3 linked regions of the Caenorhabditis elegans genome follow. The protein of the gene in region 2 interacts with the protein of the main gene of each other region in a biochemical or structural test. Each region holds a gene or a part of one and is shown on either strand. Other genes may lie near its edges. The genes, in order: goa-1, ric-8 and gpa-16.

What was found.
Region 1: of the proteins of ric-8 (region 2) and goa-1, one has a biochemical effect on the other in vitro, tested with the Caenorhabditis elegans proteins (2 studies listed by BioGRID).
Region 3: of the proteins of ric-8 (region 2) and gpa-16, one has a biochemical effect on the other in vitro, tested with the Caenorhabditis elegans proteins (one study listed by BioGRID).

Annotation. Positions count from the first base shown.
Region 1 is NC_003279.8:7,520,479-7,527,331, forward strand, and holds goa-1 (Guanine nucleotide-binding protein G(o) subunit alpha), read left to right. Parts: upstream 1-1,637; 5' UTR 1,638-1,731; coding exon 1,732-1,892; intron 1,893-2,192; coding exon 2,193-2,334; intron 2,335-3,553; coding exon 3,554-3,714; intron 3,715-3,918; coding exon 3,919-4,047; intron 4,048-4,095; coding exon 4,096-4,225; intron 4,226-4,560; coding exon 4,561-4,714; intron 4,715-4,766; coding exon 4,767-4,840; intron 4,841-5,263; coding exon 5,264-5,377; 3' UTR 5,378-6,234; downstream 6,235-6,853. Other genes in the region: Zinc metalloproteinase nas-36, read left to right, coding at 6,829-6,853. UniProt on the Caenorhabditis elegans protein: Guanine nucleotide-binding proteins (G proteins) are involved as modulators or transducers in various transmembrane signaling systems. In the 1-cell embryo, probably together with gpa-16, controls nuclear rotation and spindle elongation during mitosis.
Region 2 is NC_003282.8:2,641,316-2,649,087, reverse strand, and holds the start of ric-8 (Chaperone ric-8), read right to left. Parts: upstream 6,110-7,772; 5' UTR 6,102-6,109; coding exon 5,964-6,101; intron 5,915-5,963; coding exon 5,813-5,914; intron 5,728-5,812; coding exon 5,643-5,727; coding exon of another isoform or gene 5,585-5,642; coding exon 5,515-5,584; intron 5,326-5,514; coding exon 5,148-5,325; coding exon of another isoform or gene 5,121-5,147; intron 4,675-5,120; coding exon 4,504-4,674; intron 3,728-4,503; coding exon 3,317-3,727; intron 1,975-3,316; coding exon 1,827-1,974; intron 543-1,826; coding exon 398-542; intron 347-397; coding exon 219-346; intron 1-218. Other genes in the region: nduv-3 (NADH dehydrogenase [ubiquinone] flavoprotein 3, mitochondrial), read right to left, coding at 7,069-7,220, 7,677-7,772. UniProt on the Caenorhabditis elegans protein: Chaperone that specifically binds and folds some, but not all, nascent G alpha proteins prior to G protein heterotrimer formation, promoting their stability and activity.
Region 3 is NC_003279.8:895,588-900,377, reverse strand, and holds the start of gpa-16 (Guanine nucleotide-binding protein alpha-16 subunit), read right to left. Parts: upstream 3,093-4,790; 5' UTR 3,089-3,092; coding exon 3,023-3,088; intron 2,200-3,022; coding exon 2,029-2,199; intron 1-2,028. UniProt on the Caenorhabditis elegans protein: Guanine nucleotide-binding proteins (G proteins) are involved as modulators or transducers in various transmembrane signaling systems. In the 1-cell embryo, probably together with goa-1, controls nuclear rotation and spindle elongation during mitosis.

The sequences.
Region 1 (6,853 bases), on a different chromosome or scaffold from region 2:
CCCGCCATATTTACTGGCTCAAACCACATTGGAACGATTTTATGAGAATTGTGAACACTTTCATGAATGAGCTTCCCATAAGGTTAAATTCCAAACTAATAGTAAAATATTTCAAGTTAAGGTTTTATTTCTGCGTAATCCACTATTTTTATCTTTTCTTGATTTTCCCTTTCATACTTTCACTCATTGTTTATTATTCGTGTCCCCTCGTCTCCGTTCTTCGACTGGAAAATCTGTAAGAGGGTCCAGCTGTGGTCTCCGGTGTACGGCACTCAACATGTCTCCTTGTGTATCGCTGCCAGTGCTGTCTATGCATTTATTATGAAAATAAAACAATTAGGCACATGGAAAAAGGCTTTATGTTCCTATAGCTTTTGGTTCACGGAGACCTAGTCTACGGCGCTGTTCGTCGATTGAAACTTAAATTTTAAATAGTAGTTTTCGGCATCATAAAGTCGCTATTAAGGCTGTCAGACAATTTAAGTTTTTATGCAATATTTTAAGATTTTAACTCAAACGCCGCCTGTGATCAGATAACTCCGACTACTAGAATATCTGCATGGTTCTGATCCTCATCATGATTTAAAATTCGAATCGACACGCAACGCAAGTAGCCGCCGACCCTCGTCTTCACTGTCGCTGCCCCCTGAACGATGGGGCTCTCCTGTTTCGGCTACTGGCTGCCCCTGGCTACTACTACCCCTTTTCTGCTATGCCCATGACCTTCTTCTTCTCCTCGCCCTCGCTTTTCTCTCTATTTTCCTTCTCCAACCCCACCATCCTGCTCGCCGTCGTCGTCGCAGTTGCTCCCCCATTTTTTTGCGCCACGCAAAAAAAAAAGAAAAAGAAGGACGACGACGACAACGAAGAAAGAGAAGAAGCAGAAGCAGTGAAAACGGAAAAATCGAAGACGTTGTCGTCTATTTTTTTGCTTCTGTTCTTTACAAATTATCTATTTTCTAACCTTTTTGTGGAGAACGTTGACCCGGCCGGAAGCATGTAGTAAAATTTCTTTTTGGTTGATTTTGCAAAACATGTTTATCCTCGATTAGCTGATTTTCATTTCGATTTCAGATTAAACCAATTGATTCTAAAATAGAAAACTGAATGAACAATCTCTGATCATTCTTGAAATATAACTAATTTAGTTCATCTGCAAGTTTAACAGTTAGTACATTTTTCTGTCGTAGATCAAGAAAAATTTCACCTTCGAATTTAGTACTCAAACATTGCAGGGATTCGAACATGCAAACGTTTTAACAATTTCCCCACTGACGCTGCTCCAAAGAAATCTGAGAGAACGTCTGATTTGAAAAAATGTTTGCGCAAAAATTAGAAAGGCCCTGTTTAGAGTATTGTAGGTTGCATATTTCTACCACTAAAATAAATTAATGAAAAAGTAAGAAAATTCAATAAAAATTAGTCGCCTTGACGACGTGCACCCTCTATTTTCCTCATTCGTCATTTTTGTCATCTCCTCTCATCTCATCTATATTCTGCCCTCGATCCCTCATCCATCCATTTCTTCATTCTCCATCTCACTGTGTCCCTTTTTTTCGCTCGATTGCTTTTTCTTTTCCTTATTTTTTAACCCGCTATAACTTACTTCGATTCTAATTTTTTCAATTTATTTTCAGCGCTGAGCTGCACCACATACAGTGAGTGAGTAGAGGATATCAAGTGGAGACCGCTACCGGGGCATAGGGTCCACCGTTCATCAACTCTAGCGCCATGGGTTGTACCATGTCACAGGAAGAGCGTGCCGCTCTTGAAAGATCACGAATGATTGAGAAAAATCTTAAAGAAGACGGCATGCAAGCGGCAAAAGATATCAAACTGCTGCTACTTGGTGCAGGAGAATCAGGAAAATCGACTATTGTAAAACAGATGAAGTGAGATTTTTTTAAATTTCTAAATAACAAATTAAAACATATATAAACGAAAATGGTAGAAATAAATGGTGAAAAACTCAGAATTTATCATCCGAAATTGTCCCATAGAACGTCCGAATATTTCGTTTGATCGATTTGAATTATTAAAAATTAAATTTAATTAAAAAGTAAATAAATCACTAGAGACTGCTATTAATTTTTTTTTCGTATTCAAAATTTGAAAAGTAAGTTCAACTCTCTAATAGTTTAAATTTGAAACACGCCTTTACAAATTTTCACATTTTAATGTTTTTTTTTCAGAATTATTCACGAATCGGGATTCACAGCAGAAGACTACAAACAGTACAAGCCGGTTGTCTACAGTAACACGGTTCAATCATTGGTCGCTATTTTGCGAGCCATGAGCAACTTAGGCGTTTCATTTGGTTCGGCTGACAGAGAGGTGAGTATTATGACAATTTTTCTGCAAAAAAATCGAAATTATTTAAAAATGAGGCACGAAATTTTCAAGTGATCCCTTAATGGAAAAAATTAATTTCGGTCCATTAGCTGCTAATGATTAGCACGACAAAAACGTTACTTCAAAATAAAACTTATTTTTCTGAAATTTACTTGCGATTGTGATCTATAGATAGAACATAAACATTATTCAATTAAAAATGTTTCCCGTGTTCTGAAGAGTAATTCGAAATATTTGGAAAATAACGAATAAAAAGATACGAAAAACGAAGAGCATGAGAATAAATGACATAATCTGTTGTATTCATTGGCTCGGTATCTTTTTCTCTCTCTCTCTCTTACATTCTGCAACTCTTATTGCCTCTCGTTGCACTCAATGCATCCCGCTACCACACCACCGTCCCATTCCAATTCCCTTGTGAGTTTCGATGCGCGACGCGCCACCGACAAACTCGTAGACTCGACCTAGTATTCCAAAAATATATGTTCGAGGCAGGAATTTTGAATTGGGATTTGGAAGGGATTCTAGAATGTTGGAAAATCTTTGGGAACACATTTTCGATTGATGTGGCAAATCATCAGAAAAAAATGTTCCCAACGTTTTGGAGAAGATTTTACATCATTCAGACGTCAAATGTTTTGTTATTGCGTCACAAATGCAATTCCCGGTTTTTATACGATGAATTTGTGTTCAATGCAAGAAGGTGTGCGCCTTTAAAGAGTACTGTAATGTTTAATTTTCGTTGCAGCCAAATTTTTAATCGATTTTTCATAGTTATTCAATAAAAACGTATTCATTTATTTTAAAAATTAATAAATAACAATCAAATATTTACGAATTAACTTTAACAAATCGTAAGAATAAATATAAACATATTTTAGCATTCAACAAAAATTTGTCGTGTCGAAAACGTAAAAAAGTTTTTGATGTGAAGATCGAACATTTATCATTCAATTTTATATATATCCTTAATCTTAACAAGACGTGACTATGCATGTCACCGAATATAAAGTAATTTGAGATAATTGAAATAAAATGACCATTTTGAGACCTTTGGACAAACCATTGGAAGAGAGCCAAGGATCCAATTTCAATTTTGTGAGAAAATTGGGAAAATGATGTACATGACATGCTGTGAATTATTCAATTTTCATCAGCGAATAAAGTTATCGAGAACTAAAATCAAAGTTTTTTGTTTCAGGTAGATGCAAAATTAGTGATGGATGTGGTGGCACGAATGGAGGACACAGAGCCATTCTCAGAAGAATTGCTCAGTTCAATGAAACGGTTGTGGGGAGACGCAGGTGTACAGGATTGTTTCTCAAGGAGTAACGAGTATCAATTGAATGATTCAGCCAAATAGTAAGTTTAATTCAAAATTTTGAAAAATTATTTCAAGTAACTATTATCTCCATAACAACCAAAGTGGTTTTTTTCATAAATTGAGAAGAGTTTCCTAAATTTCGAATCAATATGTTACATGTCAAGCTCATTTTCAATATTACCAAATTTAAAATTTCAAGAAATTTCGCAGTTTATAGAATTTATTAATAACCATTTTTTCAGTTTCCTTGACGACCTGGAAAGGTTAGGAGAGGCAATATATCAACCAACTGAGCAAGATATTCTCCGAACTCGTGTCAAAACAACTGGTATTGTTGAAGTTCACTTCACATTCAAAAATCTCAATTTCAAGTGAGTTTTCTTGATAAAAAAATAATATTTAATAATGAATATTTACAGATTGTTCGATGTGGGAGGTCAAAGATCAGAAAGGAAGAAGTGGATTCATTGTTTCGAAGATGTTACTGCTATTATTTTCTGTGTTGCCATGTCAGAGTATGATCAAGTGTTGCACGAAGATGAGACAACAGTGAGAAATTGATATTTTAATATTTTAGAAGCTTTTTTGTTGAAAAAGACAGACAAAATTTAAAATTAGAAAATATCGTTTAGAGACTTTATGTTTTTTAAACGATTTTCCAATCATGACTTGGTCGTTCGAGTCGACTTTTACAATAATAAAAATAATGTTCTTCTTCTAATTTTTCTAACGAAAATGCAACTTCTGACCGACAATATATTTGCCAAAATAAAAGAAACATGATAATTTAAAAATTACTCGTTTTTTTAAATTATATTCTATTATTCATTCTATTATTCATTATTCATTATTATTCATTATTGTTCCTTATTTCATATTTTCAGAACCGAATGCACGAATCGCTGAAGCTGTTCGATTCGATCTGTAATAACAAATGGTTCACAGATACATCGATTATTCTGTTCCTGAACAAGAAGGATCTGTTTGAAGAGAAAATCAAGAAAAGCCCGTTAACGATCTGCTTCCCAGAATATTCAGGTAAAATTTAATTGAATTTCCAATAAATGTTTTAATTTCTTAATCCCTGTAGGACGACAAGACTACCACGAGGCATCTGCGTATATTCAAGCACAATTTGAGGCTAAAAACAAATCAGCGAATAAGGTAAGAAAAAAAAGTCTAAAAATCAATGAAATCAGAGAAGCCTATGGGGTTCCTGTTCCACGAAAAGTATAAATTGTTTTTCTAGAATAATATTTTTTATAATTTTTAATATCTAGTTAATTTTGGAAATTTTTTGAAGTGTGAAACATTTATAAAATTTAATTTTTTTTAAGTAAACACGAATATTCAATTGTTTTGTTAATCTGTCACAGAAAATGATAACCAGAAAAATCTCTGAATCGTATTCAATTAAGTAATTACAACCAAAATTTGAGATTTTTACTATCTCGACATTTTCTCCGATATTGCGGTTACTGTAGTTTCATATTTGAATAGGTAGTTAAAGTTGAGTGTTGAGGTAATAATTTTAATTCATTATTTCATTTAATTTGTTTTCTTTTGAAATAATATTCTTATTTGCAGGAAATCTATTGCCACATGACATGTGCCACAGACACAACTAACATTCAATTTGTGTTTGACGCTGTCACCGATGTGATTATTGCCAATAATCTTCGTGGATGCGGCTTGTATTAAGCTGTCGTCTTCGCCGCCCTCTTCTACCATTCTGTGTGTATCTTTGCTTACTTTTCCCAAATTTTTAAAGATTCGTTATTTTTCTCATCCCCCGAGTATGCATCTATAATTTGAGAGCTTTACATGTACATTATGGTTGCAACTGTTTTTATTTTTTGGAAAAAGTTGCAATTTCAGATGTATATGGGCTTTTTTTTAACCTCTGATTCATTCATAATAGTCTCACCGCCCTTCTTTTTCTCAACTAGGATCCCTAATTTTTCTGTCACAAAAATAACACATAAAACTCACAATTATTTATTTTTTCCTTTTTTCTTATTTATTATATATTGTCATTATTCACGCCACATCCCCCGCCCTTCTCACTCCCGTGTAGCCTTATCGCTATTTGAAAACAAGAAAACTTTAAAAATCTAAATTCAGTTGGAATTCGTCCCGTTCCGCCACACACCCCCTAAAGGTCTCTTCACCCCGAATTATAAAGCTTTGCCCCTTTTTTCTTTCTTTTCTCCCATTTTTCAACACACCTAGTCACTGTTAACAGTTAAATAATGGCAGCTTTTGTCTATGTTTAAAGATTTTATTTTTAATTTTTGGTATTTTTCTATTTCTACTCTTCCCCTCTCATCCATTTTCCCTCCTTTTCCTAAAACCACACTTCCAAACTCATTTTTCTCGCTGTTTTCCTCTCCCTATTTTTTCTTTTACTTTTTCATTTTTCCATCTTTTTTCTTTAAAATCGTCTCGCTTTTTGTCGGTGAGCACGATGGTGTGCAGTAGACGATATTTTCCGCATTGGTTTATTGTCGACTGCACCCACTCATTGATATCTTATTTGATATAAACGACATCCTCAACTAGTTTTCGTACAAATTCAGTTTGGTGGATACAAAAGTACAGTGATTTAGTTTGCATGGGAAATTGCATATGGGACTACCGTACATATGTCTAGATAAAAAACCAATATTTTTAAAACTCGATAAAATTTAAATTTCCCTGAACTCCTTTTTGAATAACCACCAAGAAGTTTAAACCTCGCGCGCGAATTTAAAATTTAATTGTTATTTTGAATTATTAGCATGGTTTAAAACAATTTCCCCATCATTACCAAGATTTAAAAAAATCAAAACCTATTGTTATAACATCAAAAGTGGGAAACCCCAAAAATAGTCTTCAGATAATGATTTTCTCAAGATAAATGACCCGGAAGTGAGTGTTACTAAAGCGAAAAACCTTCCAAATGTCAAGTTTCATTAAATTTTACAACAATCATCTAAAAATGTGTCCTTTTTGTCACACAATTGTGTTCATTTTCCATCAGCTTTTCCCTCCTCCTCCCACTATGTGATAAACTTTCACTTTTTCTGTTCATTTGCCAAAAAAAAGAGAATATCTCATACACTTTCCTATCTTCTCTTTTAATTGAACTATTATTCTATTTCATGAGAAATATGAGATTATGTCATTCAATTATTT
Region 2 (7,772 bases):
TATGTTTATTCGATATTTTTCCAATTTTACACCAAAAAATTAGAATTTTCTGCAAAATATCGTCACGATTTTGATGAATTTCATCAAATTTCGTGCAATTTTTTATATTTTTTTGGGGGGATTTCACCAATTGTTTTCCAGATTTTTCTGCTGCAAAAAACCTGAATTTTATGTCAAATTTCATCAAATTTTCGCGCAATTTTCTCCGAATTTCTCACCAGTTTCCATCATTTGATTCATAGCATCAACCAGCTTCATCGCTTCATACTCTTTTTGCTCTTCAGACATTCCGGCAAGTGCACTTCCGTGATCCGATGGATAAATTGCTCCGGTCACTGGATTTACACTGAAAATCTCTTTTTTTCCATGGATTTTATGCACAAAAAGTATAGCATACCTATCCTTAATCTGATTATAATCCTCAGTTTCACTATCCTCACTGTCCGACGCGTGTTTTGGTTGATTGATTTGTCCGAGAAGACCCAAATTTGCGAGGTGACCGGCCGAGTGGCCGAATCCAAGGTATTTGATCATTCGATTCACTGGAAAAAGGGAATTTTTTAAAGATAAACCCTCACAAATTTTCCAAAACTGACGTTTTTGAAGGCGGAGTACCGAAATCTGGGAAATATTTTGAATTGGCTCAAAATTTTCCCTTGATTGTTGTGGAATGGGGAGCCATTCCACAATGTCTCGTCCTACGATCTCTTCAGAGATCTCTCAGACGAGGTTTCTATGACAAAGAGCCGCAGAAGTCATTCTTTCTTCTGCGTCTCTCGCTCTCATACGCTCTCTCACAAGAGTCACACTCGCGCCCCACAGCGACATTAGCTGCGCGACGACTCAAGCGACGACAGGATACGCAGCCATTGGACGCCACCACTTCAGTCTTGATGCTGCGCTCGTGCCGAACGGTCGTGCGTGGCACTTCTCTCCCGACGCATCCCCCATTTTCCTTTGTAATTGCCCCTCACTATTATTCATGTACTTGCTCCGATATCCAAGGAGAACCCGACAATCTCTGATAACCAAAGAGAACCCGACAAACTCCAATAACCAAGGAGTTTCCAGGCCTTCCCCCTACTTTATCCTCTCTCCCTCTTGTATTGTAATTCTTATAATTACTATATAAATTAATATATTTATACATTTGTTCTGTCACTAGCTCTATATTCAAGTCTCCTCGGGAGCAAGACCACCGCATTCATCCGCACTGCCACAGCGCTCCTTCCAGACTATACATACTCTTTCTTCGGTCTCGAGTCACTCTTCGTTACGGCTTAAAGGCTCGGTCGCCGCCTCCGGGTGCCACAACATTGATTCCGAATATCTTTGTGAAAAAATTCAAAAAAAAAATTTCCCTGATTTTATATTTCAAGCTTGATTGAAATCACGAATTTTGTGGCGCCAGAGACGCCTTGTGTCGATTTACGAGATTTGTGTATATTTACGAAATATTTGCTTAGGTTGCACTCCTTGACGGAAAATCCATCCAAATTGAAGCTTTTTCCGACTGAAAACCGAACATTTTGCAAATTTTTTTATACCTTAATAGACCTTAAAAATAGCCGAAAATCAGGGAAACTCGTAGAAAAAAGGGGGAAGTCAGCATCTGATAAAGATTAAACATTTCGTAAATATACACAATTCTCGTAAATCGACACACAAGGCGTCTTTGGCGCCACAAAATTCGCAGGGATTTTTTTTCTGAATTTTTCACATAGATATTATTGGAATCAGGGGAATATTTGAAGTCATTCGAAATTTTTTCCAGATTTCTGTACTCTAACTTAAAAAAAAAACTTTGAATTAAGTTAATTTCGTACCTGATCTCTTGCAAATAATGAAAAGGAACTCGGCGGCGACATCTTTCGTTGACGACGGAAGCATCATAATTCTAGCGATTCGGCCACGTAGTGTATTGTTCTCCTCCGGCCGTTTTTGCACTTCTTCTGATACCAGTGGGGGAATTACCTGCAAAAATTCGAAAATTTTGAATTTTTTTTTGAAGCTTTCAAAAACGACATTTTCATATAATTTTTTAATAATTTTACTAGTGTATTTTGTGAAAAAAAAATTTTTTAATCAGAACATGAATAAATTTTTCTATATACCTTTTTAATTGACTCCAAATTTGCTCTCTGATTCCGAATATCTAAGTGAAAAAATTCAAAAAAATTTCCTTGATTTTATATTAGAGCCTAAAATCGCGCAGTTCATTTGTGCACCCATGAACTTTTTTCAAATTCGCGCCGAAATAAATTATCCTTGGAGCGCGTTTGTCTCAATTAATTTCAAAACGCGCTCCGGGGATAATTTTTTTCGGCGCGAATTTGAAAAAAGTTCATGGGTGCACAAATGAAATGCGCGATTTGAAGCCCAAATAGAAAATCAGGGAATTTTTTTTGAATTTTTTCACATCGAAATTCGGAATCAGGGAAAAATTTGGAGTCAATTAAAAATATTTCCCGGATTTCGGTACCCCATCTTTAATAATTTTACTGATGTATTTTGTGAAAAATGTTTTTTTAAATCAGATCATTTTTTTTTCATAGAGGCGGAAGATTTTTTTTTAAATTTTTTATAAAATGTCTTGAATTTTTTTCAAATTTTCAAAATTTCCCTATCAACACTGCAACTTTTTCCTCACGAGGGACGAGGAAAAGTGGTTTCTAGGCCATGGCCGAGGGGCCGACAAGTTTCAGCGGCCATTTATCTTGCTTTGTTTTCCGCCTGTTTTCTTTTGTTTTTCACAGCTTTTTCCCGTTTTTTCTTATTAAAACTGAAAATAAATATTTTTTGCAGATGCTAAAACAATTTCCAAGTGAAAAAATTTATGTATTCAGTGGGCAAGCAGCGGTGAAAGTGGGCATTGTAATATGATGGATTACGGGAATACAAAACCTAAACTTTTTCTGAAACATAATACATATGCTGCTTAAATGCTGAGACTACCTGATTTTCATAACGAGACCGCTGAAAAAGTTTTGAGGTTTCCAAAATTCAACTTTTTTGGTGAAAAAGTCGAGATTTTCGCACATCCGCTACTTGCCCACTGAATACATAATTTTTTTACTTGGAAATTGTTTTAGCATCTGCAAAAAATATTTATTTATCAGTTTTCTTAAGAAAAAAACGAAAAAAATCAGTGAAAAACGAAAGAAAACAGGCGGAAAACAAAGCAAGATAAATGGCCGCTGAAACTTGTCGGCCCCTCGGCCATGGCCTAGAAACCACTTTTCCTCGTCCCTCGTGAGGAAAAAGTTGCAGTGAAATTTTCAAAATTTCCCTATCAAGTGTTTTTTTTTTCACGAACCCGAATTCTACAATATCTGCGAACATATTTACTATCCGTACAAAGCCTAGCGAGAACTTGAAAATATGGTCCAACAAGATCTGTAAGTGTTGAAGCTTCTGCCGACAACATTGGATTCTGCTGCTGATTTGGAGCATCATTGAGCAGTAGAGCAACGACTTTTGTTAGTTGCTTATCCAAATGCATGAGAATTGCCTCGGTGAGCTGCATATTGCTAAGTTCCTCAACAAAGAATTTCTCCTCCTCGTTTTCTCCTCCGTTATTTTTTGAATTTTTTCCACAAAGTACTGAGAGGACCATTGGTAGTGGTGGAACTGATAAGCAATGAATTGCAGATTGAACGACGTCATCGGTGAGCACATCGGAGCAAATTGCGTCACGAAGGATTTGGCACGTTTTTGCCGCGTTTTTCTGAAAAAAAAAACTTTTTTTCGTCGTAATTTGTAGCAAAACTTTGACATTTTTTATGGAATTTTTGATACTTTTGGGGTTAAAAATTTGAAAAATAAATGAATTTTTTCAGAAATGTGCTTTAAAAAAATTTTAAAAAATTCTGACATTCCTAGATAATTTTACAAAATTTACCGCAATTTAGAAGAATTTTCACGAGAATTTAAAGCTGAAAAAAAACGAAAATTCAGAAAAAATGCGAAAAAAGCGAAAAAAAAAGAAATTTTTTTTTCGCAAATTTTTAATTTATTTTTTATTTTTTGGGCCAATTTCAGGAAGTTTCTCAGAATTTTTCTGCTCAATTCAAAAAAAATATGATATATAATTATATATTAAATTAATTTGTTTTTTTGGAAAATAAAAATAGAGTGATATTTCATGATTTAAAAAAAATGAAAATAAAACGAAAATCGATGATTTTTATCTTTTTTTTAATCTAAAAAAACCTCAAAAATCTCAAAAAATTGCATTTTTTATGACGATTTCTATAGAAAATCGTCATTTTTGGATTTTTGATATTTTTCAATGAAAATTCCTGAAAAACCGGAAAATTTCACCGATTAATCGTACGAAAATTGGAAGTTTTTATATGAATTTTTTTTTTTAATTTGGAATTTCAAGTTAAAAACTCGAATTTTTGTAGTTTAAAAAAAAAAAGTTTTAAAAAATTCAAAAAATCGCATTTTTAAGGTATAAATTTTGGTATTTCAGTTTTTTTTTTTTTTTTGAATTTTTACATGATCAATAGCCTTCACATCTCCGTGAAAATGGCAAAAAACGTTGAAAAACGTCTTCAACGCCTCGGTAGCTCGATTTATATCCTGAGTGCTGTTTTCTGATCGATTTGTGCAAATTTCGACGGCCAAAAGCAGAGAATCAATGGTTTTTGGGTCGTTGGCCCAGTTTTTCTGCAAAAAAAAAATTAGTTTTTCACAAAAAAACTAAAAATTTTCATGAATATTCGCAGATTTTCTCATAAAAATTGAAATAAAAAAATTTATTTTTTGTAAAAATTGATTAAAAACCTATAATTTTTATGTTTTCCAAAATTTTTTGTAAAAAAAAATCTGAAATAATAAAAAAAATTTCGAACCGCGACGCGACCGCAACGCGCGGTCCACAGTTTTTAAAAACTAAATTTGCCGATAAAAATCACACAAAAATCGGTTTTTTCAGGCAGAAAATTCAAATTTTTTCTGAGAAATCTGAATTTATTGAACCGCGACGCAACCGCAACGCGTGGCATCGCTCAAAACTCGAAAAATATGTGTATTTCCAGTAAAAAACGCTCGATTTTTCTGCCGATTTTACACGAGTTTTCTCCAAAATTCGGGTCATTTTTGTGTCAAAAAATTCAAATTTTTCGTGTCGTTTCGAGCACCTGAAATTCCCTGCCCAATGCAGTTGCAATAAAAGCGATCCGATGATAGAAATACCAAATTTCGGCGGCTTGAACCGGATTCAGAAGGCGAATCCAATCGATTGACGACGTTTTTCGGCGGTTTTCCTCGAATTCTCCGAGGAAAAATTGCAAATTTTCACCAGTTTTCGGGTTTGCACTGCAAAAATCGTGTTTTTTTTCTAATTTTTAGCTAATTTTCTTAGAAATTCAATTAAAAATCAGATTTTATAGATTTTTTTCTAATTTTTTTTTCGGAAAATAACCTTTTTTTCCACTTTTAAAGGATTTTTTACACTTTCCTATGCAAAAAATCACTTTAAAATCGATTTTTCAATTGAAAACTCACTAAAATCGATCTCTCATTCGTTGTGAGTGAAACAAAGTGTTGATTAGACATTTTTGCGCCTCCATTAGTGCTGAAATTATGATTTTTGGCGGGAAATTCGAGAATTTTTAGGCTCAAAATTGCCTTACTGTGGACAGTTTTCGAGTTATTTTCGTTTGACGAGAGTTCCGCGAAGGCGAGGATTTTATCGCAGAGCGGGTCGTTCAGGAGGCCCTGGAAATTGGGAAAATTGGGGTTTTTTAGTTTTTTAGCTGAAAAATCCGAATTTTCAGTTCAAAATTGCGTAGTATTTCCCTACCTCCAATCCATCTTTTTCCCTACTCAAAATCTTTATCGTCTCCAGCAGCACGTGGGTCAGCTCTCCGTTTTCTATAACCTCACAAATCCGGTCTCCGAGCTCCTGAAAACTGGAAATTTATTGCAAAAACTAATTAATTAAAATCTCTCACATTCTTTGCCGAGTTCGCCATATCGAATTTTGAGACAGCGGCGTTCGCGAAATTCCATTTCGAGAAGAATTCCTCGATTTTGGCAGGCTTCCCGCCGAAAATCGACGCAATCAGGTCGGAATGTAGTTCTTCAGACATGGAATTGCCTGAAAATCATGAAAAATTAATTATTTACGAGAAAAAATGCAATTTCAGGATCGAACAATTCAAAAAATCGCGAATTTTTGTGATGCTAAACAGCACGCGCATGCGGGATTTCGGAGCATCGTTAAAAATTGTTTTAAAAAAAGCGAAAAATTACTTTTTTTCCGAGGTTTTTAATGATTTTTTTTACGGTTTTTGTTGAAAAATAACAGAATTTTAACTGGTTTTCGGAAAAATTTCAGATTTTACTCTCTCCAATCGTATTTATGGCAGAATCAAAGAAACGAGGAGAAAAATAGTGAAAATTCGATTTTTTTTTTTTCACTAGCTTATTCTGAAAAAAAAACCCTTATTATTTGCATCGAAACACCATTTTTGGTCATTTTGAAGTGATTTTTCATTGAAGTAATTGCGAAAAATAATGAAAATCAACAATTTCGATCAAAATTTTGCAATTTTTTCGATTTTTCCCTCGAATCTCTCGAAAATAATGCGATTTTGATTGAAAAAATTAAAAATTCAATGAATATGACATCTGCTTCTCTGAACAAAAGCTAGCGACGCCCATCACCATGGAAACTCGCTGCTAGGTAATCCCTTGTGGCGGCAATCACCGTGGGAACGAGCAGGCATTAAAGAAAAATTGTGCTTCGGCTTATTATTGTGTTAAAATTTATTTTTTTAGGCGGAAAAACAGCAAAAATTCACAAAAAAAATTCGAAAAACCGCCATTTTTTGAGCAATGATAAACAACATGCACGTGCGGAACATCGGAGCATCGTTGTGTTTTTTTCGTTTTTCAACGACTTGTTACTAGATAATTAAGCATGGAAACAGCCATGAAATCAATAAAATTAAAAAATCTATGTAAAAACTCATATTTATACGAAAAATCTACACAAAAAAAATGATAAAATCCACCGAAAACTCTATTTTTCACACAGAAAATGTCGAAAAAAGATTAAGCTCGAACTTTCGGAAGAACGTCGGCCTTCTTGTAGGACGGCTGAACGACACGATCCTTGTTCATGGTGATTTCGGCGTGAGCGTACGAGTATTTGTCGAATTTCAGGTATTCGTCGCATTTGTACAGTGACCAATCGGGTTTTCCGCCTGAAAATTGAGAGATTTTGCGTGGAAATTGGATGGAAATTGGGAAAAACTTGTCTGAAATTCGATTTTTTTTCTAGAAAAATGCACATTTTTCCAGAAAATTAGACTTTTCATAGTTTTTTTTTCTGACAAAAATCGATATTCTGCTCATTTTTAATGTTTAATCAGAATATTTTCGGCTAAAATCGATTTTAACAAGAAAAATGGCGAAAAATCGACATTTTTTGCAGAAACTAGCTTTTTTCAATGAAATTGTAACTAAAAATTTAGCTATTCACAAGTTCTAATGCAAAAAATCAAATATTTCAGTGATTTTACGGGAAACATCGAATTTTCGTGCCATTTCCGCAAAAATTCAACTTTTTCAGCTATTTTTAAGGAATTTTTTGGCTTAAACTTTTTCAATACAATATTATGACGGATTATTATCTAGTTTAGAGTTTCAGAAAGCCATACCAGCGACCTGTCTGGCCTTCTCTGCGTGCTCGATTCCGGTGCTCGTTTTTGGAGCCGCCGACGCCATCCGACGAGCCGAAATAACCATCAAGCGGT
Region 3 (4,790 bases), on a different chromosome or scaffold from region 2:
AAAACAGAGCATTTTGGAGTAAATTCGGTGAATTTTTTGGGAAAAATTAGGGATTTTTTACCTAATATTCTAGAATTTTTGGTAAAAAACAGAGCATTTTTGGCTATAATTTGTTTAATTTTTTGGACAAATTTAGGGATTTTCTCTTAATATTCTATTTTTTTGGTAAAAAACAGTGAATTTTTGGCTATGATTTGGTGAAGTTTCTGCTGAAATTAGAGTTTTTTTTGTCAAAAATCGGTGAATTTTTGGACAAAATTAGGGATTTTTCGCCTAATATTTTAGATTTTTTTTGGAAAAAAAAGAGCATTTTTGGCTATAATTTGGTAAATTTTGTGCTGGAATTAGAGTTTTTTTTTGTCAAAAACAGAGCATTTTGGAGTAAATTCGGTGAATTTTTTGGGAAAAATTAGGGATTTTTTACCTAATATTCTAGAATTTTTGGTAAAAAACAGAGCATTTTTGGCTATAATTTGTTTAATTTTTTGGACAAATTTAGGGATTTTCTCTTAATATTCTATTTTTTTGGTAAAAAACAGTGAATTTTTGGCTATGATTTGGTGAAGTTTCTGCTGAAATTAGAGTTTTTTTTGTCAAAAATCGGTGAATTTTTGGACAAAATTAGGGATTTTTCGCCTAATATTCTAGATTTTTTTTGAATTTTTGAGTAAATTTGGTGAACTTTTTGCTGAATATGGCAGGTTTTTTTAGTCGAAAATTGGAGAATTTTGAACAAAATTGGCAAATTTTTCGGCCAAAATTAGGGATTTTTTGGCCAAAATTTGTGAATTTTCTCCTAATATTGTAGGTTTTTTTTTTGTGAAAAACAGACAATTTTTGAGTAAATTTTGTGAATTTTTTGTTGGAATTGGAGTTTCTTTTGTCAAAAATTGGTGATTTTTTAGCCGAAATTAGTGATTTTTCGCCTAATATTTTAGATTTTTTTGGTAAAAATCAGAGAGTTTTAAGCTGAAATTGGAGGTTTTTTTTGTCAAAAATCGGTGAATTTTTAGCCAAAATTAGGCATTTTTCACCTAATATTCTAGATTTTTTGGTTAAAAAGAGAGAATTTTTGAGTAAAAATGGAGAATTTTGGGCCAAAATTAGGGATTTTTTGAATAATTTTTTAGACTTTTTTGGTTAAAATTTGGTGGATATTGGGTAAAATTGAAGAATTTTGAACAAAAATCGGTGAATTTTTGACCAAAATTAGGTTATTTTCGCCTGATATTTTATAGATTTTTCTGTTAAAATTTGGCAAAAAAATTGGTGAATTTTCAACAAAAAATAGGAGAATTTTTGGTAAAAATTAGAGTTTTTGGGCGAAATTGGGTAATTTTTGGTTTAATTGTGTAATTTATGCATTTTTTAGCCAAAAAAGGGAGAATTTTGAGCAAATTCGGTGAATTTTTTTGTCAAAAATTGGAGAATCTTAAACGAAAATTGGTGAATTTTTTGGCTAAAAATAGCGAATTTTTTGGCTAAAATTAACGGATTTTTTGGCTAAAAATAGCGAATTTTTTGGCTAAAAATAGCGAATTTTTTGGCTAAAATTAACGGATTTTTTGGCTAAAAATAGCGAATTTTTTGGCTAAAATTAACGGATTTTTTGGCTAAAAATAGCGAATTTTTTGGCTAAAATTAACGGATTTTTTGGCTAAAAATAGCGAATTTTTTGGCTAAAATTAACGGATTTTTTGGTTAAAATAGCGGATTTTTTGGTTAAAATAGCGGATTTTTTGACTAAAATTAACGGATTTTTTGCCTAAAATTAACGGATTTTTTGGCTAAAAATAGCGAAATTTTTGGCTAAAATTAACGGATTTTTTGGCTAAAAATAGCGATTTTTTGGCTAAAAATAGCGAATTTTTTGACTAAAATCAACGGATTTTTTGGTTAAAATAGCGAATTTTTTGGCTAAAATTAGCCGATTTTTGATTAAAATTAACGGATTTTTTGGTTAAAATCCACGAATTTTGGTCAAAATTGCCAATTTCCTGTCATTTTTCAGTGCATCGGAGCACTGACCAAAATAATATTTCCATAAACGACGCCTCTGAACACTTTTCTCTCTTCAGTCGTATATCCGACGTCGTGAATGATACGCATCTGCTTTAAAATCGTCGATTTTCCAGACTCGCCGGCTCCCAGGAGCAGAAGCTTGATGGTTCGCATTGAGTTCTCGCCGTCTTCTTTGAGCTGCAAAAAAATTTGGGATTTTTAGCCAATTTTTCAGGGTTTTTTTTTCCAAAAAAAAACAACAATTTTATTGATTTTCAGGCAATTTTTGAATTTTTTTGAAATAAAAATCTAGTTTTTAATGCAAATTTTGGGATTTTTGGACTTTTTATAAGCGAAAAACTGTTTTTCGTGGTTTTTATTGATAATTTTTCAGGTTTTCTACAAAAAAAAAAACTTTTTTTAAATTGATTTTTAGGCTATTTTACAGTTTTTCCAGAAAAAAAACCGATTTTTTATTGCTTTTTAGGTAATTTTTCAGATTTTCTAGATAAAAACCAATTTTTTGATAATTTTTCAGGTTTTCTCACACAAAAATCGATTTTTTGTTGATTTTTTGGCAGTTTTTCAGATTTTCTATTTAAAAAATCCAATTTTTTATAGATTTTTAGACAATTTTTCAGGGTTTTTCCCAAAAAACCGATTTTTTATTGATTTTTTTCGTAATTTTTCAAATTTTCTCCCAAAAAATCGATTTTTATTAATTTTTTAGACTATTTTTCAGATTTTCTACAAAAAAAACTGATTTTGAGTAGATTTTTAGACAGTTTTCCAGATTTTTTAAGAAAAAAAATCCGATTTTTTTATTGATTTTTATGAACTTTTTGAATTTTTTAAAAATAAAAATCTAGTTTTCACTGCAAATTTTGCGATTTTTTGAGGTTTTCGAGCAAAAATTCTAGTTTTTAGTGAAATTTTTCGGTTTTTGAAGCAGTTTTGATGATTTTTCTATATTTTTTCACAAAAAATCGAGTTTTTTCAACGAAAAATCCCCAATTTTTACCAATCGATCAATCTTCTTGGATCTTCGTTTCGCTGCTTCATCCTCCTGGCTCATAATACACCCCATTGCGCTGAAAAAAAAGGGAATTTTATGTGAATAATATCGGCGATTTTAGGTGAAGAAAGTTGAGAAAAATGTAAAATTCTGTAGAAAATGGCTAAAAAATGGGGTTTTTTCGGCTTTTTTCAGAATATTTTAAGGTTTTTGGGCAATTTTTATTGAAAAATTGACGATTTTTGTCAATTTTTGCAATATAAGAGCTCAGAAATGCTCATTTTTGTCGAATTTTTAGGTGAAAAACGTCAAATTTCAAGGAAAAACCTCAAAAAACATGCCATTTTACTCAAAATTCGAAATTTGTCAGTTATTACAAGATTTTTAGCGTTTTTTTTTTCGGAAAAATGCTCTAAAATTTAAAATTTTTATTATTTTTCAGCGAAAATGCTCTAAAAATTCAAGATTTTTAGTATTTTTTCAGAAAAATGCACTAAAAATTGAGATTTTTAGCATTTTTCCGAAAAAAATGCTCTGAAATTCAAGATTTTAAGCATTTTTTCGAGAAAAATGCTCTAAAATTTAAGATTTTTAGCATTTTTCATTAAGAATGCTCTGAAATTCAAGATTTTAAGCATTTTTTCTGGAAAATGCTCTAAAATTTAAGATTTTTAGCATTTTTCCGGGAAAATGCACTAAAAATTGAGATTTTTAGCATTTTTTCTGGAAAAATGCACTAAAATTCAAGATTTTTAGCATTTTTTCCGGAAAAATGAGAATTTTTCGCTGAAAAATGTCAAATTTCACTCAAAATTCGATATTTTTCAGACTTTGAGGTTATTTTTTCTTAAATACAAAATGAAAATGTCGAATTTGAAATAAAATGATCTAAAATTTAAGATTTTTAGCATTTTTTCAACAAAAAAGCTATAAAAATTAAGATTTTTAGCTTTTCTCGGGAAAAATGCTAAAAATCTTAAATTTTAAAGCATTTTATTTCAAATTCGACATTTTCATTTTGAATTTTTTTTCCGCTAAGCACTAAAATTCAAGATTATTAGCATTTTTCCGGCAAAAATGCACTAAAAATTGAGAATTTTTCGCTGAAAAACGTCAAATTTCACTCAAAATTCACATTTTCAAGGCTTTTAGGTTAATTTTGGGGGAATTTTTTTCTCAAAAACTAAATGAAAAATGATAAATTTAAAATAAAAGGCTCCCAGAAAAAAGATATATATTGCTCGTCATATCGGATGCCGCAGACGCGCAGAGAAGTGCTTTACACAAACAATTGCAACATTTTTGTGTTTTTCTCTGCGCAGGGGCTTCGAGTTAATCGAAAATACATGATTAATTGGGAAAACTGGCACAAAAATTGGCCATTTTTAATGAAATTCGGCAATTTTCGCGATGAAAAATGCATTGAAAATGATGTTTTCCGCGAATTTTCGCTTTTTTCCCGCCGTATTTGTTTCTTGTTTCTTGTGAAGTGGAGGGGGCAAAAGCATGGGAAAACTCTGAAAGTTTAAACTAGTTTGAGCATCTTTTAGTGCGAAAAAGGCGTTAAAGAAGGGATTTTCAAACATTTTTCCGAAAAAAATGCTAAAAAACTTAGATTTTAGAGCATTTTTCTTGCAAAAAAATGATTAAAATCTTGCATTTTAGTGAATTTTTCTGAAAAAAAGGGCTAAAAATCTTAAATTTTAGAGCATTTTTCTGAAAAATTGCTAATAATCTAAAATTTTAGTGCATTTTTCCGAAAAAATGCTAAAAA